Linked DNA regions of Struthio camelus. The protein of the gene in region 4 purifies or fractionates together with the protein of the main gene of each other region. This does not show direct contact. Links are inferred from orthologs where the notes say so. Each region holds a gene or a part of one and is shown on either strand. Other genes may lie near its edges.

Region 1 (6,848 bases), on a different chromosome or scaffold from region 4:
CTGCCCTTGAATTAGCTCCTGCTTAAATGTATCTGTAGCCTGCTTCACCAAATGCCTGAATTTCAGCAATAAATTCTCTGCTAGTGGTCAGAAGTGGTTACAGGAAGAGTCTTGTGTTCCTCGTGTGAGATCTTCACACTGGAGAGTGACCCAGAGCTTACCAGAACAGAATGCCAATTTGCGAGACATCCTTCAATGCCATGGCTAGAATAGGCAGAGCTCAGAAATACCATGATATCAAGGTAAAGAAGAAAAAACAAACAAACAAACTTCAGTGACTGAAGAGTATTTACAGCGAGAGCAATCTCTTAATCTGCATTTGCATAGTGACTGATGCAACAAAACCCATAAAGAGTCCAGCCTTTAAATGCTATCATAAGGCAAATATCTTCAGTTAGCACCCTTACCATCCCGGAGGAATAGAGAGCTGCCCAGCAGGGCCTACAGCACCCTATCTGGTCATGGAAAGGCAGGCAGAGTATGACCCCCTAAAAGACACTCACTCCAGCAACTACTGCAAACAGAAAAAGCATAAGTGGTCTAGGAAGCAAAGAAGAAAGGTGTCTCATAAGTGGAAGAGAAATAGAAAGCAGCACGATGCAATTCAGCCAGTGCAGGAACCGATACCATTTGCCACTCACATCTCATTTGCGAGCAATACTACTTTACTTCATCGTAAAGACTGATACACTCACTCTTTTAAATTAATCTGTATGATTTTTCAATACAGAAGTATTTAGCTTTAAGATTAAAATATATATTTTTGAACCTCCAAAATTATCTTCTGCTCTTAGTTTGTCTGCTGTGACTCCCACCCACCAAACAAAAAAACCAAAAAACACAATCCCTTATGAGTTGTCTTGTCACACTGCTTTGAACATTAGCGTTCTCTACACCTATAGCCTGCTCCCAGACCATATTACAGTCACTCCACCTCTTGAAAGGGGACAAAAATCTGTTTCCTTTAGAGGTACCAGTTGCTAACATCCCCACACAAACCGAACATCTAATTCAACTGCATGGAAAAATTTATTTACTGGGAGCCACACAATGCAAGTCGGAGCCATACAACGCAATTCAGAAGGATGCTGCGTGTCACACTGAGCATCTCCGTAAGTCTGGGTACAACTTCGTTTTTCCATTGGTCTCATCTGAAAACTCACAGTAAAATGCAATCTGCGTACCATTCCTCACTTCCCAGTTCCAGTTTCTGAGACTGGATCTAGAGATTTTGTGGTCAGACGGAAGGCAGACCAGGGCATTTTTGGTGAACAACTTGTTCACTGAATCAGCAAGCTGATGAAACTCACTGCATGGTTGCGCAATCACCTACTTCAACACAGAGAAGGTAGGGGAAACACAGGTGGGGAAGAAGTAGACACAATCATCCCTTTTGGCAGCAGTTACATCAGATTCAGTGTTTCACAAAACCACATCCCTAGCTAAGCATAGTCATCCCTGTTACCCAACTTGCAATGAAACAGAAAAATCACAGTACTCTCAAGTCTTGCACAAAGTTACTGTGATGTTTATTTAGTAAGCATGCATTATCAGCTTTTGAAACTGGTTTGTGTGGTCTTCTATAAGAGGCTGTTAAAGTCAAACAGAAGTGGGTTGTCAGAGTTAATCAAAACATGTTAATTCTAGTCTAAGATGTTTTGATATCCATCCAACACATCAAAGTACTACTTTCTTTACAGCTGCACAGCGACTGCAAACAAGCTTCACGCTCTCTTACAAGTCTTTAAAAAAATCTGGCCAATGGCAAGCACTGACATTCATTGACATGATATTGCATTTCTGTAGAACATTTGTGCAAGCAGAGCCCTGAGTATATGCACTGCATAAGGGCATGGGTGTTTTTGAGAGAGTTTGACGTGAACTACGTCAGGAATGGTGTACTATTCCATCACGAATGGCTACATAGGTTTGTGACATCTTCTTGCAAACACAGTTTGTCACTAGAACCCTGTTCTAGCAATCTAGCTTACAAAATTTCCAGACAGTCCAAATAAGACCATTAAGGCCAAGAGCAAAGCCAAAAAGCAAAAGCACACAAAGGCAATAAAAGTTGTAAAAAAGACTGCTGGCAACTGATGCCAAGAGATAAAGCCCAGTATGCCTCAATGGATGCACACACGCTATATTCTTCATGAAGCAGCCATACAGTAGGGAAGAATCTTTGGCCTGAGGCAGCAGCCTTAGGCCTTTTAAGTACTGAGGCAAGGAACGTCTCCCCATATGCAAGGCTACCATTATAACTGCTACCTCATTTGACTACCAGCACAAGGTAGGCACAAGGCGTCTGTGAGCTGTTTTCTCAGCAGTCTGGAAGAGTACAGCGATGAGGCCTTCCCCTACTCGCCCCACAGGCCAGTATGATACTCACATTCTCCCTACACCCTCATACATGCGGGTCTCATCCACCAGCGTCATGATCTCCGTGTCAGTGAGGTGCGCGTGCTTCTTCGTCCTGCTCAGCTGCTCGATCTGGATGTCGGCAAGCTTCACTTTCTGCTGCGTATCTATTACCTTGGCCTGGAGCTCCGTGAAGGCCTGAAGGGGGAAAGCAGGAGCGGTGAGGGGCTGAGGCCGCCCGGCCGGGGCCAGGGCCGTTCCAGGCGAGGCTGGGGCTAGGCTGGGGCTGCCAGGCCGGGGTAGAGGCCGGGAGCCCCCAGGCCGCTAAGGCTAGGCCGCCGGGGGGCCGCGGCGGGCCCCAAGCTGCCCCAAAACAGGGGACCGCGCAAAGCCCTACCCGGGAACACCCAACCGGGGCGATGGGACACTCCCCGGCCACGGAGGCGGCCAGACCCCCGCAGCGGAGGGTAGAGAGGCAGGAGAACGCGGCAGATTGCGGCCCCGGGCGGGGAGGAGGGGGAAGTCCCCGGTACCTTCTTCAGCTCCAGGTCCACGGGCGCTGCCATCTTGTCTGCCCCCGGCGCCTGCGCAGTGGGGGAGCGCGGGAGCCGCGTTGAGGTGCGCATGCGCGCGGGGAGGAGGGCTGGGAGAGGGGAGCGTGGGGAGAGGAGGAACCTGGGGGGAGGGGGGAAATGTGGGGGGAAGGGAGGAACTGGCGAGGAGGGGCGAATCCTAGGGGCAAGAGGGGATCCTGGAGTGATGGGGGCTCTAGGGAGCGCCCTGGTGTGTCCCTGGGGAGGGGGGCCCAGCAACTTCCCTGCCAGCAGCTGTGCCCTCAACCGGGGCATGGAGGGCAGACCAAGGCCTGGGGAGCCTGCATAGGCTGGGCCCCACGGCCACGGGGACACAAGGACACCCGGGGGGTCTGCAGTCTTGGTTGGCCCCGGTGCTGCCTCCTGCCCGCTGCCTGCTCTCTGTGGCAAGGACAGCCCGGGCAGGGCTGGGACTGGTAGGGGATGGCTGAGTGCAGCGGGTCTGGTGGCACCCACTGCTATGGCACCTATATGCACCTGGGGGCTGCTAACATGAGCTTGGCTCTCTGGCCAGTGGGGACACCTCAATAGGCTGGAAGGATGCCTTACTGGGCAACAGGGACTCCTTGACACCTGTCTGGGACATGCCTGCACCTCTCCAAGCAGCAGGGATGTCTCAGCAGGCCACACAGACATCTCACCAGGCCACAGCAACACCTCATCAGGCAGCATGGACACATCAGCACCTCCCCAGGCTAGGCAGATGCCTTGCCAAGCATCAGGGATGTCTCATCAGGTCACGAGGATGCCTCACAGGCAGCATGGATGGCTCGCCAGGCAGTCTGGATGCTTTAGTGAGCGGTGGGTCACCTTGCCAGGCCATGCAATTGCCTCACCTGGCTGCCTGCACTCCTCAGCAAGGCAAGTGGTAGCCTCATAGTGCAGTGAGGATGCCTTGTGAGCTCCACGGATGCCTTACTGGACAACAGAAATGCCTTGCTGAGCCACAGGGACACCTCTCCAGACAACAGAGACACCTTGCTAGGCAACAGAATGCCTCATTGTGCCATGGAGGTACCTTGCTGTACAGATGCCTCATTGCCACACAGATGCTTTACTGGGCCACATGGACACCTCACTGGTCAGCAGTGAGACCTTGTTGAGTGGTGTGCAGATGAGGTCACCCCAAAGAGCTGATCCCATTATGGGTGTTCTTGGCCATGCCAGTTCAGCAGGAAGCTGGGGTACCATGTTGGAGCAGAGAGATATGGCCTTTGTGAAGCAGAAAATGTATTGGAAGAGCAGGAAAAGAAAACCAGAGGGGATGGAGCTGCCCTTCCTATGAAGGGACTCAGCCTCTCCTGGGGACCAGGTGTGTGATTACAGTCTCCTGGGAGGCTTTGAAGCTGTTTCAAGAGGCTGTCAAGCCCTTGCAGGTACCCCTCATGGGGACAGCATGCCGGCTCTGTCATTGAACTGAGATGCCCATCTGCTGGACCCAAGGACTCATGAAGCCTGTCCATGTGTTTGACTGTTTATGCAGTGCTACGCAGCCAAGCTAAAAGTATCATGGGGCTGGCAAGGAACTGAGTCACGTCCAGAACAGAAAAATGGGAATCAAGATATCCTGGGGGGCAGGTGTTCACATGGGTGGCCATACCTTATCTATAAAGGGTTTGCCAACATCGAGGGGAAGTTTCATGTATCAGTGGGTTCCACTGGCTAAAGAGGATCTTTATTTGCCTTTCTCCAATAAACTTCATTGCTGTTTTATCTCACTGGAAGGAGCTCTTTCCCAGCTACAGGCTGCCAATAAACGCCCTATTTCCAAAGCAAGGTCTTGTTCCAATTCCCAAACATGCAGCTTGGCCAAGAGGCCTTGAATGCATGAGTCACAAGGATTACAGGCAGGGAAGGCCCTCTGGGTCAGGGGTGAAGCTCTTTGGTATAGCTGGATGGACGTTTATCCCACGCTGCCCCACTATGTCGTGCGATACACAGTTAGGTTGTGTGGTTCTCATGCCAGCCTCATCCACCATCCAGTAGACGTCTACTAACAACCCAGGCTGGCTCTGCATGGCTGCAGGGGAGGTCTGGCGGGGCTAAGGAGCCTAACAGCAGCCTAACAGCAGCCTTGTGTGACCTCCACTCCAAGGTGGCTCTGGCATTGGGTAACTCCTAAGTCCTGGTGGGCCGTACCAGTGGCTTAAACCCCATCTGTAGATGCTGCCAGATGCAAGGGCAGATGCAGACCCTGACACAACTAGGATAACTCTGCCAGCGCACAGTCGCTGTCACACAAGGGGGTGATATACAGCCGGGGGTCTCGTGTGTCTCAGGGTAGAACTGGAGCTTGTGGCTGAGCCTTCTGCTGAGCTGGCAGTTTAGATGCGATGCCAAGGAAGTGAACTAGTTCGTCAAATGATTAGCTACAACATTGCCTTTTGGTGCATAATAGTTGTGTGAGGCCATCTCTCTCTACAGAAACACAGAGAAAGGAGGTGATCTGTTACTGACAGGCTCTAGCCTGCCTGCTCCTGCCAAGCCTGCAAGAGGTCCTGCTAAGGGAAGGCTTTGTACCAGACACAGTGGAGAACGCGGGCTGCCTGTCTCATTACTCATTGAACAGGAAAGGCACCCCCAGCCAGACTCTGGGAGAGGATCCCAAAGCCAGGGGGATACAAGGGACAGATCAAAAAGCAGTAGCAGTAGCTAAAACCAGAGCCAGACTGATGCTTTATTAATAATACCTGGCAGTCAGACACAGCCCTGTCATCCAGACAGGCGTTGAGATGCTGCAGGAGGGAAGGAGGCCAGGTCATTTCACCCTCTGCAGAAAGGCAGTTGCTTCAGCAGTGAAAGTAGGAGGCATGTAAGGGCACATGGCAGCAGTCTGGGACTGGGAGGGCCAGACGATCTTGAATCCAATTAAAAGCTGAGGGGGAGGTTGAGAAGCATTGTGTCCTTGCCTGGTGGAGTTACTGAGTTAATGCTGGTGGCGTGGTGAGATCCTCAGGGGAATCCATTTCTTGCATGTGGTCAGCATGGCAGCATGGTGTTTCATGCAGAGAAAGCTGTTTCAGCTGCCTGGTGACCCCCTCAGCACTGTGCTGCCTTACTGATGCAGCCTGACTCACCCACATGCGCGCCCACTAATTAATCACCATCACTCCCTCCAGCCTGAGTTTTCCTTGGAGTTTGCCCAGCTGGGCTGGGAGAAGAGGTGAGATCATGATGAGGCTATCAGAAGTCTTTTAGGGGAAGGCAGCAAAAATTAAAATACCCAGTGTACCATTCTGTAATCTGAGGCAGGCAGGAGGCAACCTCTTTGGACACCATTAATTAAAAGCAGAATGCAAGATCCAACCTTTAGGGACAAGCAGTTCCTGTTGCAACCCACTGCACCTGCCCCAAGATGAGAACAAATCCAGGCCTCGTGCCATTTCCCTTTTCCATGCTCTGAAGACCACACGTGCTCTGAATTGATTCAACCCCAAGCCTTGGATGTAGCAGAGATATTTCTCTTCAATCCCCCTATCTAAGACCTCCAACTATTGAGACACTGATGGCTGTTGTAACCCAGTTCCTCTTGCTACTCTGCCCCACGGATCCTGGTGTATCCAACACATAACACTTCCTGCAGAGAAAAGGAAAACCTTTCACTGAATAGCAGGAAGAGTTGTAGCAGCTAATTCTATACGGCAGTGGCCTGGCCTCCTCGGGGGAGCCTGAACGTCCTGCTGCCTGAGTCATTGGCAATTTATAGCACAAAAGGCTGGAGGATGCCCAGGAGTGAACAATGATGCCTCAGCCCAGGGGATCTGCAGTGTGGTGACCCAAGCGAGCTCTTCCCTCCCATCTCAGCACAGGCAAGTGCTCTGTGATACACTGGTGCTTGCTCCAAGCCACCACGCAAGGCAGACTTCTGCCCAGCTTCCCAACTTTACATATGCCACT
Region 2 (7,167 bases), on a different chromosome or scaffold from region 4:
GGATCTTGGGAATCCCCGCTGCGAGAGCTGCGGGATCGGGAAGAGCATGATTTCCTCAGATAAGGCCGGTCTGTATCGCGTGATCTTTCGGGCTGGAGCAGGCCCCCTGTTTCGCCTGGCATGACTCCACTTTGGGAGGAGTCCCAGGTTGTTTTTCCCCCTCTTTGCGTGCCTCTCCGCCCCTGCCCAATCCTACCTCCCGCTGGCTGCAGAGGGCTGAATTCCTGCCCTTGAAACCTTCCCGGTTCGAGAAGCACCAGATGCCGCCCGGAGCTGTTCCCTGCATCTCTAATTTATTCCATACACTGGCAGCAACGCACTGCTTACAAAAAGGGAAGGGTTTGGCTGGTGCTTTGCTTCCAGGCACCGCACGTGTTTAGAGTCAACAGCAGAGCCCTGCCGAGCAGGGAGAGGAGTGTTGGGGAAGGGGGGACAAGGTGGTCTGGGCCCCAGCGGCTTTCTTCAGCAGCTCTGCTCTCGTCCCAGCAGCGATGCTGATGAAGGCAGCCCCTGAGGCCGAAGGCTACGCCTTTGTTGTCACGCCCTGCGCGGCCCCCAGGGCCGTGAGCTGCTGGATCTTCTGGCTCATCATTTCCACCACGGCTGCAGGAAGACAAGGCACCCAGGCAGTGAGGGGAGCTGCTCGGGGGCCTGCCCAGAGCGAGGAGCTGCAGCGGGGTGTGGGAGATGGGCCCTTACCCTGCTTCATGGCATGTTTCTCCTGCAGCGCAGGCTGGATCTTCTCCATCTGTTTGGTCAGGAAGTCAATCTTCCGCTTGAAAAAGTCTCGGGCATCATCTGCTGTCTGAGGGAATAAAGGATAACAGAGAGCTCTAGGCACAAAGTTCCTGCTACCCTTCGGCCACGGACAATTCTGTTTATGATCTGCTGCAGAAACGCAGCTGCTTCTGGGCCACTCCACGCACCCCTTACCTTCTCCACGTAGTAGCCTGTTCCTACATCTATCAGCACGTGCTCGACATCTGAGAGCTTCCCAGGGACATACATCTGGCGGGGGGGGGTCAAGGGAAAGCAGGGAACCAAGACAACTAGGCAGCTCTGGGAGCAAAGCACCTCAGCCCAGCAGAGCTGGGAACCGAGGCCAGGCGTCCTCGGCACAGTGGCCACCACGGACCAACGCACGACCCGAGCAGCACAGGCCCAGCATGAAGAAGCAGAGCTCGTGTCAAGAGCAACAGGGGCAAAAATCTGTCAGCCCTAAACACCCCAGCTCAGCCGCTGGCCAGAGGGAAAGGAAACATCCTGGGGTCCTTGCTCAGAGAGGAACGAGGACTGGCCAGCACCTTCCCAGGAGGCAGGGAAGGAGCAACCAGGAGAGGCCATGTCCCTCCTGAAGTGGGCACAGCCAGGTAAAACGTCCCCCAAGCCCCTCGGCCCTAGCAGTTGACATTCCCGCGTCCCCGCTAGCAAAGAAGAGTTAACTTCAGAGGACTGCAGGGCTGGCAAAGGATACAGAGCTGGTGAGCGGGACCAGCAGGTCCTTTCCTACAGGAAACAAAGCAGAAACGTGTTTGAGCGCTCGGATGCACCAGCTGATTGCCCACAGCAGGGCGAGGGGCACACAGAGCAGCTACACAGCGCCAAACAGCTAGGTACGACGTTACAACCACATCTAGCCCCTCCGTGCACCCCGCGTGCCTGGGATGCTGCTTAACGCCCAACCTCCTAGCAGGGAAGGAGGCACCACGGAAACAAGAACCTGGTCCAAGGGCATAAACTGACGCAGGGCAGAAGAAAGCGCAGAGCCTGGGCTCTCAGTCGTCACTCAAAGCACAGAGTGATGTGTCTCACCTAGGCAGCAGCCAGGACTGGCAAGGCCAGGCAGGACAACACCAGCCTCTCCAGTTGCTGCTCAGGCATCCCAGTAAGTGCCCCAGGGACCTGGCAGGGCCACGCAGGCCGAGGGTGAAGGTATCTCACTCACCTTCGTTGCTTTTGTTGAGTACATTGAGGCAGTCCTTGGCTTCCACGTACTTGGTCTGCACCACTTTGAGCTGGGCAATAGAGGACGAGAGGAACTCCACCTCCTAGGCGAGAGAGCGTGAGCCTGTGAGCGTCCCCTTACCACCAAAGAGGTGCTGAGAGAGCAGAAGAGGCCCTAATCGAGTGCCATGTACGGCAGGACAGGGCTGGGGCACGTCACCTGGTCTGGTCATCACCCCTAGGCCACCCAGCTCCCCCCCACAGCAGACCTGTGGCACAGTCTAACCTTACCCTGCCACCCCCACAGCCTAGCCCAGTCCAGTCCCACATGTCACCCCCCCAGACCACCCAGTCCAGCCCCACCATGTCACCCCCCAGCCTGGTCCAGCCCGGCCCAGTAGTCCCCACTTTGATAACCCCCAGTTCCCACAGCTCGGCCCAGTCTGGTCCCACGTGTCACCTCTCCAGTCACCCAGTCCCCATATCCCAGTCCAGCCTGACCCTATTTGGTCCCATACACCACCACCATCACCACCACCCCCGCCCCTGCAGTCCCCACAGCCTGGCCCAGTCTGGTCCCACATATCTCCCCCCAGTCCCCACACCCTAGCCCCACCTTAACGTCCCCCTGTCCCCCCAGGCTGACTCAGTCTGGTCCCATAAGTCACCCCCCAGGACCTCCAGCCTAGACCAGTCTGGTCCCACATGCGACCCCCCCAGTCCCCACAGCCCAGCACCCTCTCGCCGCCCCCTCCAGTCCCCACAGCCACATCAGGCCTCACCCCCATTTCGGCCTCTCCACCGGCCCGGCGCTCCCCCAGCCCTGTCCCCCGCCCCCAGCAGCCCCTCCAGCCGCGGAGCCCGGCTCCCGGCGCGGCCCACCTGGTCGAGCTGGCTCTTGAGCATCTCCAGCTGCGGCAGCGACAGCTCCGCCACATTCACCTGCTGCGCCATCTTGGGCCGCCCGCGACGCTCTAGCGCACGTCGCCCCGTCTCGCTGGTGCCGCCCGCCGCGACGCTCTAGCGCCAGCTGCCGCCTCTCGCTGGTGCCGCGGCGCCCCCTGGCGGCCGGCGGGGGCAACAGCCCCAGGGCAGGGGGTAGCCGGAGGGGATCATTTCCTCCCCCCCCCCCCCAAAGCAGGACAGGGGGCAGCCGGGGGGGGGTCATTCCCCCCCCCCAAAAGCAGGGAAGGAAGGAGCCAGGTTGCCCCCCCCAAGACAGGGGGGACCCAGGGGTGTTCCCCCCCCAAATAAGGATAGGCTCTATTGCAGGACCCCCACCCACTGCTCCCACCCAGGGAAAAGGGGGTTTACTGCCCCCCACCCTCCACTGGGGCTTCCAAGGTGCGAGGAAGAGGCAGGGGCTGCAGCAGCCAGGGTTGTTCCCTCTGTCCCTCACCCAGCTAGGAGGGGTGTTCCCCCCCCCCCCCAAACAAGGGAGGAGGGAAAATCCCAACTGCAGAGGCCCCAAGGAGGACAACGAGGGGTGCAGCTGCAGCAGGACCCCAAGAAGGTGCTTTGAGGTCACCCTCGGAGGGCAGAGCATGCCCCGCAAGGGACAACACAGCCCATGGGGTGGGCGATCGCTCAGAGCTGCAGTGCAACGGGCTCCTGCTTACCTGGGAGAGCTGGCTGGGGCCCGGGGAGAGGGGACAGAGGCAGAGGGAAGGGGGCAGAGCCCCACAGGGCAGCCCAGGGTGGCAGGCACCCTGAGCCTGAGCACCATCCTTAGCCAGCACACAAGGGTCAGGTCCAACTGCACCAGCTTTATTGTCTCAACATACAGCGACTGTGTCATCTAAAACCACTTTAAAATAAGTTAAGATCCAAGAACAGTTAAACATGTAACACCCCACCCCAGCTGGCCCCCTGTGCAAACACCGCAAGTTTAAAACAGCCTCAGCAGCACCTGATCATCATTGGGGGGGGGGCACAGGGAGAGAGGGGAGGGGAGGAGGGCTGGGGCCAAGAGGCAGTGGCAGAGGCAGCGCTGAGCCCTCACTGCAGGCACACAGGCAAGCCGTAGGCAACGGGGGCAGCGCCGATGAGGTACTTGAGTTTGGGAGCCTGGCGGGCCTGGGCGACAGAGTGCAGGAGCGGGGCGCCCGAGCCCGCCTTCAGCCAGCCCTGGAGCAGAGCCTCGGCGTAGCGGTCGATGTCGCGGTCCGTCACGTCCCACAGGTTGCCCAGGACGAGGGGGCTGGAAAGGAGCAAGGGGTCATGTCAGCCCCTTTGGGGTGCAGATGCGCAGGGTGGGGGGAAAACAGGACTGCTGCAGGGGCAGAGACACCCAGCTGCACGAGACGGCCCTTGTAGCAAAGGGACAAGCTGAGCTTCCCCAAGCCTCGCCCCTGCTTTCCGCATCTCCTCGCCACTCACCACCCAGCCATGATGTACTTGAGAACGATGCCAGATCCCTCCAGGCTGCCGCGCACGGCCAGGGCGGCGCTGCTGCAGCCGAAGAGCAGGGCCACGGCGCGGCACTCCAGCCTGGCGATGGACTGCCCGTCCAGGAAGCGGGCGCCTGCTCCGTGCCCGGCGTAGCTGCAGGGAGAAGGTCCAGGTGAGAGATCTGGTGAAGCCTCCCCGACCTCCCCCATCAGGCTTAAAGAGGGCCCTGGGCTGTCTCAAAGGAGCCCACGCCATCCCCAAGGCTCACATGTAGAGATCACGCTCCGAGAGCGCCGTCTGCATCTGCTCCTGGCTCGGGATGGCTCCTGTCACACCGCTCCAGCCGGGCTCGCTGCGGGAGAGACCTGGTGAGGACGGCGGAGAGCAGAGAGCCCCTGGGGCACCCCAGGCTGCAGGATCCCTGCCCGGGGCAGGGGACACGCTCACCTCTCAAACCAGCCCCGGAAACGCTCCTCGGTGCCCGGCAGGTTGTTGTGCGGGTTGAGGATGTAGAAAGTGCTGCTGGGGTTCACGCCGCGGCTCAGCACAGATCCTGCCCGCTGCCAGAGTGGGGACACGAGACAAGTCAGCCCCAGCCCGGAGCAGAACCCGCAGGGTGCCAAACCCTGCGGTGCTGCAGAGCCAGTGTGCGCAGAGCCCCGGCCCGGGGTGCACAGTCCCTGGCCCTCTCACCTTCTGCGCCAGGGAATAGCCAAGCAGGAATCGCAGGGAAGGGAGCCTGGTTACGGGCACAGCCTTCAGACACGCCATGCTCTCCCAGGGTAGCTTCTGCAGGTGCTGGGAGGAAGAGGAAGGGGTGAACAAAAGGCAGCAAGCAGCCACGCAGAGTACAGGCAGGAGCAGAGACTCACCTTATCCAGCACCAGGACAAGGGAGCCGCTGGCCTGCCTGGCGCAAGCTCTCCGCTTCTCCAGGGCTTCCTGCAAGAGGAGCTGGGCCGTGTAGGGCTGAGCTGGGCAGAGCCCAAAGGCCAGGGACTGCAAATCTTGGGCAGTGAGGAGGGGAGAGGAGTTCAGCACAACCTACAGGAAGGAAGAGGGGAGCAGAAATGCATAAACATTGACAGCACCATGCTGTAGGCTGGCACGTGATGCCAGGCTGTTTGGCTGCCCAAACTGCTGCCCCAGCCCAGGCCAACTAGGATCTCCAACACAAACCTTGAGGAGCGCTGCATCTGCGTCCTCCCAACCACATTTCTGGAGCTGGTTGCACAAGCTGGAAGCCTCCTCTGCCAGGCTGGGCTCCTGGCTGGCAGGGAGCAGGGCCCCCTTCCAACAGCCCAACACCTGCATCTCCAGGGTTTCGATGAGGTTCTGCAAGAGGCCAGAGTCACGGGGGGTCTGGGCATGGCAGCCCTCTTCAAAAGCTGTGCCAGGTGCCACCAGGCAGATCAGGGTGAGGGAAGTCTCTCCCCAACCTTCATTCTCTGGTCCAGCTCCGAGCGACACAGCCACCAGTCCCTCTTGTCCGTGCAGTTGCTGGATTCCTTCTGCTCCTTCTGAATGGCATCGAACTCGCTCAGCACCGAGCTCAGCGGGGCCTGGAAGAGGAAGGGAACAGTGATCCCAGCCCCAAACTCACCCTGCAGCTGGGCTTGTCCCCTCTCCCTTTCCTGCCCTCACCTTGGTGAGCGCAGTCGGGATCCGGATGGTCACAGGAGCGCTGCCCTTCTCCAGCCGTGTGAGCAGCAGCATGTCTCCCACGGAGGCAGGCTGGAGGCTCACCAGGGTCAGCACGCACACGGTCACCCCTGGGAACCAGACCCAGACCTCAGGAACAGCCAGGGGACAGTCCCAAGGCCACACAGCCCTCCAGGACTCAGCCCCAGACCGACACAGAGCAGTGAGCTTCCCAGCCCTTGCTTTTGGATGAGCCCTTACCACTGGGGATGTTCTCCAGCTGCTCCCTGAAGCCATCCTGCTCCTGAGGCCCCATCCCCGTGGAGCTGAACTCGAAGAGGTCTTGGAGCTGAGCGAGGTGGTGGCTGCGCACAGCAGCGCTCTCCTCCCGCAAGGAGAGCCCGTGGAGCTGCTCGGCTACGTCTGCTGCTGACTTCTTGGCTTTGCTGGAGAGGGAAAGACAGTCAGGGAATAAATCCACTTTGAAATTACCTTTGCTGGGGCTCCAAAGTTTTTGGCAGAGACCCCCCTCCTGCTCAGCAGTGCTCTAAGGTTAAAAGCAGGGGAGGCCGAGGGGGTTTTGTTCCACAAAGCCAGCCAGGGAGGGTGGAGGGACTTACTGAAGTTTCCTGTGGACCGTGCTGAGCAGCTGATGGCGGGTGGTGACCGAGACAGACTCCGACACCAGGTAGGCAGTGGAGATGGGGTCCTGCTTGCCCAGGGACAGGGCCAGGAGCTGGCAGACTTGGCTGTAGAGGGCACTGGGAGGGCAGTGGCTGATGCAGTTGAAAGCACCTTTCAGGAATTCACAGGCTTTGTCCAGGGAAGAGACATCTGGAAGGGGCAAAGCAGCAAATCCCCCCCAAGGCAGAGGTGAGCTCCTGACAGAGAGCAGAGCACCTGAACCCTTTGGCAAAGCTCAAAGCAATGGGAAATTGTAAGAGGAGGTGGAGAAGGGCTAGAGCAGAGGTTTCCAGAGCCGCCTGCCCGAGGAGCTGGTAGGAGAGGGGACAAACGTGGATTCCCCAGCACAGCCACGAGCCCCCAGCCCAAAACCAGTGCCCTGCACAGCAACAGCCCACAGAGCAGCCCCTCAGCATCGGTCGCTCACCGCCAGCCGTGGACAGGGAGGAGGAGAGGGCCTCCAGGTGCAGGGGGCCCCCGCTGCCAAGCCTCCGTATGGCCAGGATGT
Region 3 (7,724 bases), about 6.8 Mb from region 4:
ATAGTCTTAACTTGTGTTGGGGTAGCAAGTTCAGACTAATTAGGGTAGTACAGAAGATAAATTTTAAAACCTTTGAGGAAACAACTATTGGTTAAATCAATTGTCCTTTTACTACAAGACAGGCCAAGGATATGTCAGTCTTTTTTTCTTTTTTTAACACTTTATCCTTTCTTCTAGTTTTGAAAGCCTTGTTTTCCCTGTTCTCTTGCCTTCCAACTTGACAGTAGTAAATGTTTTCCCACGGAGACTAGAAGGATGCTGCCCTCTTGTATCCCTCTTCACACATTTTTTTAAAAAAGATTCCTGAAGTGTTTTTGATGTATAGTTTTACTTTGTTCTAATACCACAGGCTTACACAACTCTTCCTTTATGCTTTGGACACACTGTGGATTCACAGTTCGTTCCCTCCTACTCCTGTTCCGACACTAGAATGAACTAGCTCTGAAGCTAACTTACAGAAGATATTACGTTAAAAAAGAAAAAAACAACAACAGAACATGCACACTATTAGGAATGCTTAGTTTCTCAGATTTTAATAATCCCACTTCCACCCTAGCAATGGCAGTTTGTCAAATGCCTTGAATGAGCCTGTGTTCTAACGTTTTCCTCTGCACAGTTCCAGCGCCCAATCTTTATCCAGCAAGAAGCAGGAACAGTTTATAGTCCAAAGAAATTGCAGCGTTCTATTTGAGGAGCCAAATGCCTCCCCAAGCCTACCAGGTAAATACCACTTGAGAAAGGTTCCAGGAATACAGATGTTCTCCTAAAGAAAACCCTGGAGGTTGGCCACTGATAGAGCAGTATGAATTCCACACGTGACAGCCTAAATAATGCCTTGATAAGCAACACTATTTGCCCATGGTCATGGTGATGCCACTGCCATCTCAGCCCTCCAGTATGCGATTGATTAGTTTCATTTCCTCAGGAGTCATGGGGTTCAGATTAAATCCTTTCAGCTCAGCTTTACCTGAGAGAAAGCAAGCAGAAAATCAGGGTTTTGCTACAAAATAAGTTAAGTAGCTACAAAAGATGTTAAGTAGCCATCACTGCAAGGACTCTAGAGAAGACAGTGATAGCCCTGGAAGTTGATACAGAGTCATTGGAGTAGCTGGAAAGCCTGTTTAGTCTGCTAGTGGATGACAGCTTTGCAACAAGAGCTGCATGGTCCCACAGCGCTGCTTGAACAGGAACAGAATTGGAAAGCGAGGGAAAAGGGGGCTCTAGGAACATACAGAGCGCAGGAGCTCCTCCTGCCATGTAACATCTGCTCCTGGGTGTTCGCTGAGAAGGTTCAAGAATAAGAGCATCTACCTTGAGCTTCAAAGAGACGGTTGACCTTCACACGCAGCTCTTTCCGAAGCTTGTTTATTTCCTCATCCAAGTGCTCCTGATCTGAGAGAAGGGAGAGAGCGGTAAGGAGCTGTGGAGTTCTGTGGATGAACACAGAGCTACCCCAACTCCTGGCTGCTGCTGGGAGATATTCAGGGTCGAAGCCTGAGCATGGGGTGACAGGAGAGGATGCTTGTGAGCTTCATTCTCCTTGCAACCTCGAGCACGCAGGCTTGTTGCATGTTCTCTGCAGCCTATAGAAAAAGTTCACTTTCTACCAAAACGTGCCTCCCTGCGATGCTCTGTCCAGGACAGCAGAACACGAGGAATGCCAAGAATCTCTATTTTTAACTACAGTCAGAAGGTTTTGTGTGCTTCAAAGCCCAGGACTAGACAGAAGCTTGAACGTACAAAAAAGGACACTCCAGAAGTCTGTCTTACCTTTCTGCATCATCTCCTTAGTCTTTGATTTTGGCAGCTCAATGAACATGTTTCCAAAGCAGACCATTGCTTTATCTGAGGAGGGGGAAAAAGAAGGTCCTTGTGGACACCAATTTTTTTCTTCCTAATATAAAACTATTCCTTTGCACAAGTAGGCTCATGCAGGCCTGGTACCAGGGCCGGGCGTGGGGCGGCCTGGCTCGAGGTAACGGCACACCGGGGCACCCCGGGCCTCACCGTCCGGGTCGGGGTCCTTGTGCAGAGCCCGCAGCGCCTCGCGGTTCCGGTTCCGCTTCACGTCCAGGTCCACGATCTGCAGCGGGAACGGTACGGCTGCAGCGGGGGTCACCCCGGGGGAGCCGCTGCGAGAACGGGGGTCACCGGCGCAGCTGCGGGGGGCGGAAGGGGCGACTGCGGGACGGATGGGGGAACGCAGGGGTTCCCAGAGGGTGCAAGGGGTGACCGAAGGGGTGACCGGGGGCTGGACGAGGGGACCCGGAGGCGGATGGGGGCTGGAAGGTTAGCGGGGCTGAGCGGGTGAGGGCTGCAGGGGCCGTGGCCCAAGGAGACGGGGGGGCCACAGGGGGAAGCAGGAGGAGCTGGGGGGGCCTGGAAGGGTCCGGGAGGGATGCAGGGGGCACCAGGAGGAGGCGGGGGGGGGGATCGGGGCGCACCAGCAGGAGCCGGGGGGCACCAGGAAGGTGCGATGCGGCCACAGAGGGCACCAGGAGAAGCCGGGGGGCTAGGGGGGGCGGAGGGGCCCAGAAGGGTCTGGGGGGCCGCAGGGGGGCACCGCGAGGGGCCGGGGGGGAGCACCGGGGGGGGCGCGGAAGGGGCCTGGGGGGGGCGGGGGGGCGCGGAAGGGGCCGGGAGGCGGCGGGAGGGGCCGCAGGGGGCCGGGGGGGCGCCGGCGGGGCCGGGGGGGCGGTAGCGCACCTGCTGCCGCGCCGCCAGCACGTCCTCGGCCAGCTCCTCCACCTCGGCCAGGTAGCGCAGCACGAAGGCCGGGTCCCGCGCCATGGCGGCCCCGGGGCGAGGCCGGGCCGGGCCCGGTCCGCCGCGCTCCCCGCCGGGCGGCAGCCGCGGCCGCGCACGCAGGTTCCGGGGCGAGAGGCGCCGCCCCGCGGCCGGCACCGGCACCGGCACCGGGGGCAGCGGGACGCTGCGGGGCCCGGCCCGGCCCGGCCCGGCTCGCTCCAGCGCACTGCAGCCGGCAGCGCCTGGCTGCGCCGCCGGGGCGGCCGTCCCTGTCGCCATGCCTGTCCCCAACCTGTCCCCATCCCCGTCCCCATCCCCATCCGGTCCCCATCCCTGTCCTTGTCCCCATCCCCATCCATGTCCCCATCCCGTCCCCATCCCATCCCTGTCCCCGTCCCCGTCCCCATCCCGTCCCCATCCCTGTCCTTGTCCCCATCCCCATCCCGTCCCCATCCCATCCCTGTCCCCATCCCTGTCCCCATCCCGTCCCCATCCCTGTCCTTGTCCCCATCCCCATCTCTATCCCCATCCCATCCCTGTCCCCTTTCCTGTCCCCATCCCTGTCCCCATCCCCATCCCGTCCCCATCCCTGTCCTTGTCCCCATCCCTGTCCTTGTAACCGTCCCCATCCCTGTCCCCATCCCCATTCCCGTCCCCATCCCCATCCCGTCCCCATCCCTGTCCTTGTCCCCATTCCCATCCCCTTCCCGTCCCCATCCCTGTCCTTGTCCCCATCCCCATCCCTGTCCTTGTCCCCATCCCGTCCCCATCCCTGTCCTTGTCCCCATCCCCATCCCCTTCCCAGCCCCATCCCTGTCCTTGTCCCCATCCCCATCCCTGTCCCCATCCCGTCCCCATCCCGTCCCCATCCCTGTCCTTGTCCCCATCCCCATCTCTACCCCCATCCCATCCCTGTCCCCTTTCCTGTCCCCATCCCATCCCCATCCCCATCCCTGTCCCCATCCCTGTCCTTGTCCCCATCCCCATCCCTGTCCCCATCCCCATCCCATCCCTGTCCCCATCCCTGTCCCCATCCCTATCCCCATCCCTGTCCTTGTCCCCATCCCCATCCCCATCCCCTTCTCATTTCTATCCCCATCCCATCCCTGTCCCCTTTCCTGTCCCCATCCCGTCCCCATCCCCATCCCATCCCCATCCCCATCCCCGTCCCCATCTCTGTCCTTGTCCCCATCCCCATCCCCATCCCTGTCCCCTTTCCTGTCCCCATCCCGTCCCTGTCCCCATCCCCATCCCATCCCCATCCCCATCCCTGTCCTTGTCCCCATCTCCATCCCCTTCCCCTTCCCATCTCTATCCCCATCCCATCCCTGTCCCCTTTCCTGTCCCCATCCCATCCCCATCCCCATCCCCGTCCCCATCCCTGTCCCCATCCCTGTCCCCATCCCATCCCTGTCCCCATCCCTGTCCCTGTCCCCATCCCTGTCCCCATCCCGTCCCCATCCCTGTCCTTGTCCCCATCCCCTTCCCATCTCTATCCCCATCCCATCCCTGTCCCCTTTCCTGTCTCCATCCCTATCCCTATCCCATCCCCATCCCCATCCCTGTCCTCATCCCCATCCTCATCCCCATCCCCGACCTCATCCCCATCCCCATCTCCATCCCCTTCCTATCTCTATCCCTATCCCATCCCTGTCCCTTTCCCCCTTTTCCTGTCCCCATCCCTGTCCCTATCCCTATCCTCATCCCCATCCCCCTCCCTGTCCCTGTCCCCATCCCCGTCCCATTGGGCACAGCCATGTCTGCGCTGCCAGGCCCAAGAGCTGCTGGCAGGAGCCGGGGCTGGTGGTGGCTTTGAGCCTTTTGGAGGGGGGAGGCCGGGCACCGGGCCCGAGAGGGGTCACAGCACCGGCACCGGCGCCTCGCGTCAGCCCTCGGGGCGCAGCGCCCGCCTGCCGCCCTCGCTGGCCGTCTCCCCTCGGTGGCCTGTTTGCCGCGGCGGTGGCAGCTGAGGAGCCGGGGAGGTCTTGTGGCGGTGAGTAAACTCCATTAGCGTAATTAAAGAGGAGCTCTCGTTGATGAGAGGCATCATACTGCACACAGGCAGGAAAGGCGAGGGCCCGGGCTTCGCCGGGCTGTGCTCTGCCGGGTCTCCGGGCGGTTGTTGCTTCGCCCTGAGAAGCGATTTCCCCCACGGAAGCGCTCGGGGTCACGCGGCATCGCGCAGCTCCGGCGCCCGGCTCGGGGTCGCTGGCGGGAAAGGGCTTTGTCACAGGAAACAGTGTGGAATTTGGCTCGTGTTTGAATGCACTTGTGCAAGAGTACTTTATTTGTGCAGTTAGGTGATGTCACCGCGTTTGAATTCCCTCGAGCAGGGCCACGTCTCCCAGCAGCTGGGGGACGCACCGGCGAACGGGAGCAAGGCCAGGCACGGCCGGGGCCGGCGGGCGCCCGCAGGAGCTCAGCCTGCCGCAGCCGCTGGCAGCAACCTCGTCTCATGCCACGTTGCAGCCAAACGCGGAGCTCTGCAGTGCTTGCATCCCTCCCGGGATGAGGGAAAGGGTCACAGCTCATTCACTTGGATTTCCAAGAGCTTTTGGCGAGGTTCTTAACAAGATGCTGTCAAAACAAAATGGATTGCCTCGGGGTAAAGAGGTAACGTCCCGTTGGGGTTTGAAAACTAGATAAGCTATAGGGTTGTAATTAGTGACACTTGGCGTGCAGAAGAAAGGCTTAATCGCGAGAAAGTGTGTATGGAATTAATCTGGCATGAGTGTGATGGGTTTGGTGGAGGAGGTGAAAAGTGGAATCACATTTTCTGATGGCCGTTTCGTCCTTGACAGCGTGTGAGGGATTGCGAGTGCCCCAGAGTGACCTACAGCAGCGGCCGATGTCACAGCAGCACGTGACACTGCCCGTGTCCCCCTCTCCTGCGCTGGCATCAATCGCAGGGTTTGCTGCCATCACCCGTGAGCACCCAATTAATTTACACACGCACACCCAATACGTTTGTGCGTGAACAAACGTATTTAGTTCCTGCATGAGCACCCAATTAATTTACGCCTGTGCATCCAGCCAGCTCACACGTGAGCAGCCGGTTAGCACCACGCCGGCGCGGGACAGCCCTGAGGCCAGCGGGCCACAGACAGCGCCCTGTGCCACGGCAGGCGCACTGAGGAGCCTGGAGCGGGGGCAAGCCAGCCGGAGGCACGGAGGAGCGGCAGGCGGAAGCGTTTCGCACACAGCTGCAGTCTCGCGCGCCGCCCTCGCCTCGCCGGAGCACCTGGGATGGACCGAGTGCAACCCCAGCGAAAACAAGGCAAGCCGAGGCCAGGAAGGGGGGAAGAGAGGTGACGGGCTTAATCTGAGGGGGAGGAAAGGGGTTTCCCTATGTGTTTGTTTAATTGTTTATGTTTCCTTTTTTCTCAATACCCAAATTAATGATTAGAAGTTTGTGTTAATTGGCAATAAATTAAGTACAAGCTGTCCCAGTCGAGATTGCTTTGCCCATGGCGCTCCCCACGGTTAACTCTGAACACCAGGACCGAAGCAGCAGAGACCTTGCGGGAACCTGGTTGGCAGCAGCCGCCGTTTCCCTGCGCTTCGGGTGGAGAACAGACAAGTCTGAAGGGAAAGGTGTCTCTCTTTAACCTCTGCCAGGCTGCTGTCAGACTGTGGATCCACCTTGCAGCCAGACATAGCAGTTAGTTACTTTTAATGGCAGTGGTGGAAAAGATAAATCTGTGTCCATGGGATTTCAGTTATCCCATTGCAAATCGAGTTGGTCTAGACTGAGCTGCTGAGTGGCGCTGTGTATCGAAGCGGGTGGCTTTGCCTGCAGGCCTGGAAGGACTCTGGGAAACAAACCTCACCAGCATCTCAGTAACAGGTAGTGAGTGGCCGTAAGCAGGGAGGGAAGTGCCAGCTGCGGGCAGCAGCCGCGGTGGCCCGGGACCAGCAGTGGACCCCGGTTCAAGGATTTGGCCTGGACAATGGTTTGAGGTCCCCTTGGCCTTCAAGGTGCTGAGATTTTCAGATACATCTCCAGCCCTTTGGAGACTCCTGGCTCAGCAGGGCAGAGCATCCCCCTGCAGCAGAGCTGGCGCTGGGCACCGGCACCTCTGCCCCGGGGCACCGGCATCCTGAGTGGGACCTACTGCCGGCTGGGGGCTGGGCAGAGCAAGGGCCGTGCACGATGCATCTGCACCCAGATCCCCCCCAGCCCCACTCTTGCTCAGGCACGGAGGTGCCTCTCAGATGAAAGCCCTCTGCTCCTCCGTATGTCTCTGCGCATGTGAATAATTTATGCTTTGTCATAAACAATCCCTCTTTCCCCCTCCTCCCGTCCTCCTCCCCTCCCAGCAGCATGCACTTGTGTTTGCTTTTTCTTGCTGCTTTCTAACAATGTGCCCATGTCAGGCAGATGGGCTCATTAATAGCATCAGGTTGCCTTTACTTTCCTTTTTTTCCCCCCAGTATGTAATAAAGAGCATTAAAAGCGCAGAGGCAATGAGATCAGATTTCATTTTCTGCAGCTAGGTGGCTCTTCCGGAGCTCAGCCGGCGAGGGCCTGCGGGTCGCAGCGGGAGAACCGGATCCGGCAGGGCCAGCTCGGCCCGGCGGGGCCTCCCTTCCTGCCCTCGGACCGTCCGGGGCCCCGGAGGGCTGCAGCGCAGAGTGGGAACCCCAAGGCGAAGCCGTCCGGCCCCAGCAGGGCGGGAGCGCGCTGCAGGCGTGCGGGGCTCAGGGGCTCTCCAGGAGCTGCTCTCTGCAGCTTCTTTCATTTTAAAATTCACACGATCACTCTGGCTGGTGTGGCCCCTCGCAGAGGCTGTGTTCTCCAGCGTTAAAATGCTGCAGGTGACCCCGGGAAGTGCGAAGCGGCTATAAATGCTCTCCCAGGCCCCAGTGTCAACTTCCCGAGCTGCTCCTCAGGCGCTGCTGCTCCAAATGACCCTGTTTACAGGAAGGAGGAAATATCTCACATCAAAGTGGCTTTTAGTCACTTTTCTTTCCAA
Region 4 (7,382 bases):
AAACAAGACCAGGGAAACTATGATATGTGCCTGACTTTATTATTTTAATAAACAGCGCAAATATTCCAACCTTGATGCTTTATCAATAGAGTGACGCTAATGCTTTCCTGAACAAATAAATAACTGCAATAAGCAAAGTAAGAAAGCTCTCATTAAATAGATGGAACCCAAGACAGGAAAGTCAGAAAATAAGAAACTGGTAGAATTTTTTTAAACATTGCTGGAAAAGAAGAACTGTCAAAATATTTACTAAAATAATGAAAAAAAAATTATGATATATTTAGAAAACCTTCAACTGTCCTCAGCCTCAAGATTTATGTTATTTCCAAACTTTGCATAGAGCTGAACTTTCAGGTCAGACAGCACTCTCTGAATTGATTCCACTCGGGATTCCAATGCTTCAATTTCCTCTTGTAAACTTTTCTGGAAAAGAAAAGAATGTCTAATTAATTATGAAAACATACCAAGTCATGTTTGTCAGCAACATATAATTGATCAAAGGAACCTTAAGTTTTTGCCTTAAGTCAGGCTCCTTTGACGGAGCCAGTCAAAGGACAAATTTTCCAATGATAATTATAGGACATCATAAAACATACCAGAAATTGAAAAGTCATGCCTCAGCTATCACCAACCTCAATAAATTGATCAAGGCATAAAGCTAAAATCAGAATGAGAGAATATTTCCGTGTTGATACTTTTTGCTGATTAACAGGCTCCAGCTTTGGAAGTATAACTTGCAGTATTACATGATATCATAGTAAAGATATTCAGAAAGTAAAAGGTTCAGAACTGAACACACCATCCCACTGCAATGCTTATCTGCAGATAGTGCTAAAGCAACTCCTTTTTTGCCCACAAACCTTTGCCTCCTCCAGCATCTCTTGTGTCTCTTCTTGGGAATGACTAATGAAGACATCTCCAATTTGGTAGGGTATCAGTAGTGAATCATCATCATCAAGCATCATTAGGTCATCACAGGCATCTTCCAAATTCTGAAGTTGCTTCTATTTATCAAGACACAAGAAAGTTGGTCACTTTGTCCTATGTGTATTACTGCAACGGATGCATTAACATGCTATTCCTGTTGAATAACGAATGCAGAGAGAGTCCGCATTTGGGGCAAAAATCCTACCCATCAATATCAGTATGTTTGATAACGCTGTTTCCGAGACATAATTTAAAGTAAGTACTAAATTCAGTGGCGTTTACCAGTAAAAAGTTCTAGTCAGTACTCTCATTAACAGGACAATTAACTGGTTAGACAAGTGAAAAACAGTTGATTTAATTTCACTAACATCTGATACGTTATTATGCAGGAATTTCTGAATTTAACCAGAGAACAGGAAGACAAATAAGGCGGCAAACGTTAATAACCTTATCACAAAAGTAGAATGTCTTAGAGTCCTAGCACCTTAAGCCACCAAGGGAACATCAAACCGAAAATGTAACATTTTTACAGTATGTATCAGGCAAGGGAATTATAGAAGAGACAGGGTAAGCACTTCACAAATAACAGTTAAAACTTCACTGGAAATACTGTGACCGATGTTAAAGAAAAATGAATTAATACTGGAAGAGTGAATTAGCATAATGTACCCTATTCAGCAAGAGAAAATCTCTAAGCAGATAACGATGACCTCTATAAACACATCAAAAGAAGAAAAAAGGCAGGAATGCCTCACTGGTACAAGAAAAGCAGATATGAATAAACTTAGGAAATTTTAGAACACTGCAAATAGCCTTCATATATGATCAACATTTCATACATAACAACTAAGGAGTTCTAAGTACTGCATGCAATAATACACTTGTGGTTCTTCCAAGTTTCCTTTATTTCCTATGACTTTCTTTGCTTTATCATCTTAATATTCTCTGGCTATCTTCAGTGCCAGAAATCTCTGGCTAAAACTATTACTTACGCTAATCGATAATTCCTATTTTCTGTCCATTTTCTGAGCAGCAGCTCAGAAATTAATTCGGGACAACAAAAAAAAAAGTGACCTTGTAGCGAAAAAAAAAAAAATACCTTTTTAACTTCTATTTCTTCTTTCAGCTCTGTGATCCTGCTAGTATTTCTTGCAAATTTGTTAATTTTCTGTTGATCCTCAAAAGTGACATTGACATCTTCTGCAGCCTGCAAGGAAGCGAGGTCAAAGTGAGCAACTCATTTTTTACGTGAAGTCTGATTTTGCTTTTAATCTCACCATAAGATTATTTCCACAAAGCTTTTGGAAGGGGGAGGGGGGTGAAGAAAAAACAAACGATTTTACGGTCTTTACATTTTGGTTATGCACTTGACTCCTTAGCACAGCTCCTTAAGGACACATCAGGAAGACTCCCGCGGAGCTGGGCGGACTCCCTGGGGACACGGGGGACACCGGTGCCCCGGGATCCCTCCCGCCCAGCCCCGGCTCCCAGCGCCGCCTCTCCTCAGAGCTGCCCGCCGAGCGGCGCCGCCGGGCCGGGCCGGGGCCCGGGGCAGGGACCCGCCGCCCCGCGGCAGCCGCCGGAGCGAGGGGAGCTGCCACCCGCCGGGCACAGCGGGGCCCGGGAGCCACCCCCGCCGTCTCCCTCCGCCGCGCTCCCACCACCGAGGAGCCCGCGGAACCACCCCCGCTGCCTCGTCCCCCACTCACCGCTTTCTTCATGGTGGCGGCCATGTTGGGCGGGGCTGAACCATGCGCTCCCCTCGCAAGAGGAGGAGCGGGACGGCGACGAGCGAGGGCGAGAAGAGGCGCCCGTCAGCGACCACCCCTCGCGGCGCGGCTCTGCTCTCTCTCGTCGGTGTCACCGCTGCCAGCGCTGGGGTCCGGCCGCGAGCGGCCGCAGAATGCCCCCCTCCCCCCCCCAGCACACTGCGCTTGGTACGTCCCGCTTAAAGGGGACGCGGGCGGCCGAGTCCACCGACAGAAAACGGGGCTGCGGCCCGCGAGGGCTGCCACGCGGTGGCGCCATGGGATCGCGGCGGGCGGCGGGCGGCGGCCTGGGGCCGGACCCGGACCCGCTGCGCACATCCTGCCCCCGCCCGCTGCCCCCGCTCAGGGATGGGCCCTTCCCGCCACCGACCCCCCCCCCCCCCCGCTGCCCCTCGGCCGCTCCCTCCTGAAATGGCGGCGCCGCGGCGGCGGGGGGCGAAGCGGCCGCCGAGGAAGGGGGCTGCCCCGACGGCGGGGCGCCGGGCCCGGCCTCACGCAGGGGGTCCGGGGCGACGCCAAGGACTAGCCCAAGGTTTCTCTTCGGCGTGCCAACCGAACCAGCCTGCTCTTTCTGGAAACGGGGGCGGAAAAGGCTTTCCAGTTCACATCCTTGCCGAGGGACTTTTTAAGCAAAAGCAAACATTTGTTGCCCCCCCCCCCCCCCAAAACGGCTGGTTGGCCGCTTCTAAAGAGAAATGAGGCTGTCTGGCATTTACGCTGCGTAATTGCCTCCACATGCTTCAGTTTATTTAGCTTATGTCACAACAACAAAACAAAAAAATCAGGTCATCAGAACATTTCACAACTGCGGGGGAGAGGGCTGGCGCCGGCGCGCTCCGGCTGTGGGGCTGCCGCGGGTACGCGGGTGGGATCCCGCAGCCCGGAGCCCGGGCGGACGGGCACGCGCCCTCGCTACGTGAAGCAAAAGCTGCAAGCGGCCAGGGTTTTCGAAAGCCTTCGCGCTGATGGAGACCGGCCTGGCCTCTTTCACGAAAAACAGCTGCTGAACGGCTCGAATGGGACCTCTTGATGCCTGTGACTGGCCTCGGTCTGCCGAAGCCACCTTATCTCTGGGACCCTCTAGCTTTCACGTGTCTCCATACAGGAACTGCCCACCACGTTCGGTGATTTCCAAGGGATATGCTCTTGTGCCAGTGTCAGGTGTGCAGGTAACAAACCTGCAGTGAAAGCTTCAGAAAGGTCTTTGAAATAGCTTTAGGCATTTCACTGGGATTCATCTTCCTGCTAGGCACTCCTGTGAATTGCAGTCGAAGGTCATTAGAGTTAGACCAAAAAAAGGACCTGGGTAGGTAGAGTTAAGGCCTGATAGGTGTACTTTTAAAGTGTCTAGCTTTGGAAAGGAATTCCAAAATCTGAGTTAGAGTCCCTGGCTCATTGCGTGGGGAGAGTTCGGAGCTCTAGAAAGAAAATCCGACGAAACAGCGTTTCAGCGCGTTCAGCCCTTGGCAGCCAAAACTGCCGAACCTTTTCTCAGAGCTGCCGAGAATTACCTCCACCAGTTTGGAGTCCGAAGATCAAAAACCATTTCCTGAAGGCACAACCTATAGCCTTTCCTCTAAAGCTGTGCTTTAAAAAGCACTCTAGTTCTCTGCAACAGTCTTGTCAGAACACTTGTTCGTGATACGCGAGACTCACGGATTCACCTGCTCTGTGTGATGCCATCCAGACTCGCATCGCACCTCCCTTGTAATGCCTGAAGAATATTAACCAACAACTATTTTAATAAGAAATACAGAAACAACCAGTGGAACAGAGTTAGCATTTGATTTTGTTAGAACACAGTGTTCCTGAGGCAAAATCCAGTGCTTGAACCACAAGAGAATCCATGCTCCATGGTAGCTCATAAAAGTCCATTGAAAAGGGGATCCATGAAGAACAATAGAAAACAACAACCCAGGAGAAGAATGGGTGAATACCTTAAAAGTTTTCCTATTGAATTCCTGCAATTGGGACTCATTAGGAAAAGCTGGAATATGGCATCCTCCATTCAAGTCCTAGCACATGTACTAACAATATTCTCCCTCAGCCTTTCATAGATAGAAATAACATAGCAGCCCTACTGCCTGCCTGGAAGAATGAGAAGTCTGGGTTTCTGCCTTCTTACTAATGAGCTTGGAGCTCACTCTACACAGAGTGTAAAATTCAGAAGTATTGAACTTCGTTCTGTAGTAGAGCTGGTTGGGAGCTCCATTTCAGTAACTGTTTTTTATTGAATATATTTAAGAAAGTCACATCTACCTGTGGCAAAGACTGTAGCAGCTTTCTAGCTCAAAAATGAGTGGAGGGAAAAAAATTTCAAAATTGTCAAAACATCTTACTGTGGATATATTCTGGATGGAAAAGTTATGTTTTTCTGTTTCAGTTCGAAACAACAGTTCATTTCAAGCTTCCAGTGACAGTCTAGAAGGATGAACAAAATAGAAAAGGAAACATTCGGAATGGCCTTCAAGCTGACTTTCATTTTTTCTTTGGTGCATGATTCTGACTTGTTTCCTGTTAAGGAAAAAAAAAATCATCACAAAAGTTCTCCCTGGATGTGAAAACATAATCCTAATTCATAAGTCTCTTTTTCTCAGAAATAAACTCTCATTTCTCTGGCCATTCTGTTACTCTTCATAGAGTCAGTTATCATCTCTCTTCTTAAAGATCCTACTATGAAAGGGTATAGTCTAAACCATGGTTATTTCCATGGGTGGATTAACTGAATAACACGTTAGGTCTGAGCCAGTGTAATTTCCTTCAAGAGAAAAGGAGTGGATTTCATAAGAATTTGATGACTCGAAGGCTTTGAAAATAAATCTTTTTCTTCCACATGCTCAGGCAAGATTTGTGGTGTTAGCCTGTTGCCAAGAGTAACTTACTGTAGACTTTTCTTATGTAAATAAAAGTGAAAACAGTGCACGAGTGCAAACATCTAGTGGTGGAGTAAGATAAACTCATTGAACTCAGTGACCTCATTTTTCTTTCAGTTGCATAAAAGGACTTGCTCTTTCTTGTACTGTTCTTCATTGTTGTTGCAAATGTGGTTAACTTCATCTTGCACCTTGGTGGGATCCCATCCATGGTGTGTAAAACCCACACGCCCTTTGGCTTGTATCTCCTTTGTGGTTCTTTTCACATTTTCCCCTCTTGTTACTTGTCTTTTGCAATACAGCTCGGTGGGAGAGAATCTTTCCATGCTCTTTGCCTGATTTGCTTTGGACTCACAAACTCTTTACCCTTTTCTCTCAAGTTACACAGAGAACAGGGTAACTCCCTGTGACTGAGCATCCTGAAACCACACATCCAAAATGTTTCTTAATACAGGATGCATTAGAAACAGAGAAAACTTAATGGAGACAAAAGAAATCATTGGTTTGTCAAGACTTTGTCTTATGAAGTGGATCAAGCACTCTTAGCAAAAGATGGACAAAGTTGTAATACTCTAATTGTACTAGTGTAAATCAAGGGGTACAGTTTGCACATCATATAGGTGCAGTTCTAGTAGCAGCCTGGCATTTCTAATATTAGACAATGAGACTTATTCTGCTGTAAATATATATATATTTACCTTATATAGCCATATGTATTGCTTTATTTCCGCTTGCCTATGGCTACCCTTGTACCAGCATGAGGTGGAACGAAGGGGCTTGCGGGGGGGGGAACCTTTAAAAAAATCCCCTTCTAATGGTGCTATTCTTTTCAAAAGGCAATATCAGATCTTAATGAAGCGAGTGTTAATTATTTACCAGACAAATCCTGGCTCCCTTCTTAGATTTTCATTCCCTTATATTCTAAAGAAAAGAAGGCAGATTTTTTTCAGATTTTTAGCCTTGTTCTTTCAAAGAAAGGAAAAAAAACCCTCCTGTTGCTCAAAAGCAACATTATCCTCCTTTGTATTCATATATATCCAGCATTAGAGCTCAGTAAATCATATTAGCTACTTTCCTCAAGTCATCCCAACAGACTTCATCCTCTGTGAAGAAAATTTCTCTTTTCCCTCACTGTAAGGCGTTGTACGTTGTTCTGCAGCCTCAGCTGAGCCCATTAAGCTGAGGGGAGTTTCTGCTGGCTCTCACTATCTAAAATGGGAGCTGGAGATTCCCTTTGGCAGGGGAATCCCTTTATGGTGAAGCACAGTAAGAGACCTTACTCTACCTTTGTGGGCAGGATGTACTGCAAATATAGAGCTTTAGTCCCATAATTCTGGCCCAGCAGAACAGTTGTTGCCCAATGCTGATTTTACTTAAAATAAAAGGTATACAACTGATACAGAGCTATTTCTGCAGCCCTGCCATTCTTCACCGCTATTTGGCACCTCAGTATCAATAGGGAACATACCTGGGCCCAAAATATTAGCTATATATTCCTGTAACTCCACACTTCATCTGGTTCTGAAAATATTTCTCATGATGGAACATCTCTCAGTTTACCCGAAACTTTTTTTGGCCCTTACTGGAAGCCTTTCAGGTTCATGAGGGGCCTACAATTGAAATGTCAGCTTTGCTTTTTTGTTTTGTTTTGTTTATTTTTGTGGTTCATCATCAATAAGAACTGCTCGCTACACTACCCGAAATTAGGTCTTCAGTTATACCTGTACAGCCAGAAACAATTTGTTTTTTAACAGGGGCACTGCCAGTGCCAATTTCAAAACTTGATATGTATGTATTCCTTAAAAAATACACA

Evidence for each region.
Region 1: the proteins of PFDN4 (region 4) and PFDN1 purify together in Homo sapiens (affinity purification with mass spectrometry; 5 studies listed by BioGRID and IntAct, counting the BioPlex papers as one, with this or other methods). This does not show direct contact. The link is inferred for Struthio camelus from reciprocal best matches to the Homo sapiens genes PFDN4 and PFDN1.
Region 2: the proteins of PFDN4 (region 4) and PFDN5 purify together in Homo sapiens (affinity purification with mass spectrometry; 5 studies listed by BioGRID and IntAct, counting the BioPlex papers as one, with this or other methods). This does not show direct contact. The link is inferred for Struthio camelus from reciprocal best matches to the Homo sapiens genes PFDN4 and PFDN5.
Region 3: the proteins of PFDN4 (region 4) and PDRG1 purify together in Homo sapiens (co-immunoprecipitation; 3 studies listed by BioGRID and IntAct, counting the BioPlex papers as one, with this or other methods). This does not show direct contact. The link is inferred for Struthio camelus from reciprocal best matches to the Homo sapiens genes PFDN4 and PDRG1.

What each region holds. Positions count from the first base shown.
Region 1 is NC_090954.1:23,573,403-23,580,250, forward strand, and holds the start of PFDN1 (prefoldin subunit 1), read right to left. Parts: upstream 3,006-6,848; 5' UTR 2,985-3,005; coding exon 2,892-2,984; intron 2,557-2,891; coding exon 2,390-2,556; intron 1-2,389. UniProt on the Homo sapiens protein: Binds specifically to cytosolic chaperonin (c-CPN) and transfers target proteins to it. Binds to nascent polypeptide chain and promotes folding in an environment in which there are many competing pathways for nonnative proteins.
Region 2 is NC_090969.1:1,548,849-1,556,015, forward strand, and holds PFDN5 (prefoldin subunit 5), read right to left. Parts: upstream 3,001-7,167; 5' UTR 2,899-3,000; coding exon 2,827-2,898; intron 2,049-2,826; coding exon 1,946-2,048; intron 1,507-1,945; coding exon 1,475-1,506; intron 1,009-1,474; coding exon 934-1,008; intron 806-933; coding exon 700-805; intron 604-699; coding exon 524-603; 3' UTR 275-523; downstream 1-274. Other genes in the region: ESPL1 (separin), read right to left, coding at 3,943-4,144, 4,324-4,488, 4,604-4,687, 4,783-4,895, 5,029-5,133, 5,208-5,378, 5,514-5,669, 5,774-5,896 and 4 more. UniProt on the Homo sapiens protein: Binds specifically to cytosolic chaperonin (c-CPN) and transfers target proteins to it. Binds to nascent polypeptide chain and promotes folding in an environment in which there are many competing pathways for nonnative proteins.
Region 3 is NC_090959.1:18,591,665-18,599,388, forward strand, and holds PDRG1 (p53 and DNA damage-regulated protein 1), read right to left. Parts: upstream 2,868-7,724; 5' UTR 2,791-2,867; coding exon 2,707-2,790; intron 2,084-2,706; coding exon 2,008-2,083; intron 1,846-2,007; coding exon 1,771-1,845; intron 1,393-1,770; coding exon 1,312-1,392; intron 968-1,311; coding exon 885-967; 3' UTR 518-884; downstream 1-517. UniProt on the Homo sapiens protein: May play a role in chaperone-mediated protein folding.
Region 4 is NC_090959.1:11,760,902-11,768,283, reverse strand, and holds PFDN4 (prefoldin subunit 4), read right to left. Parts: upstream 3,013-7,382; 5' UTR 2,661-3,012; coding exon 2,637-2,660; intron 2,135-2,636; coding exon 2,027-2,134; intron 1,005-2,026; coding exon 861-1,004; intron 424-860; coding exon 292-423; 3' UTR 19-291; downstream 1-18. UniProt on the Homo sapiens protein: Binds specifically to cytosolic chaperonin (c-CPN) and transfers target proteins to it. Binds to nascent polypeptide chain and promotes folding in an environment in which there are many competing pathways for nonnative proteins.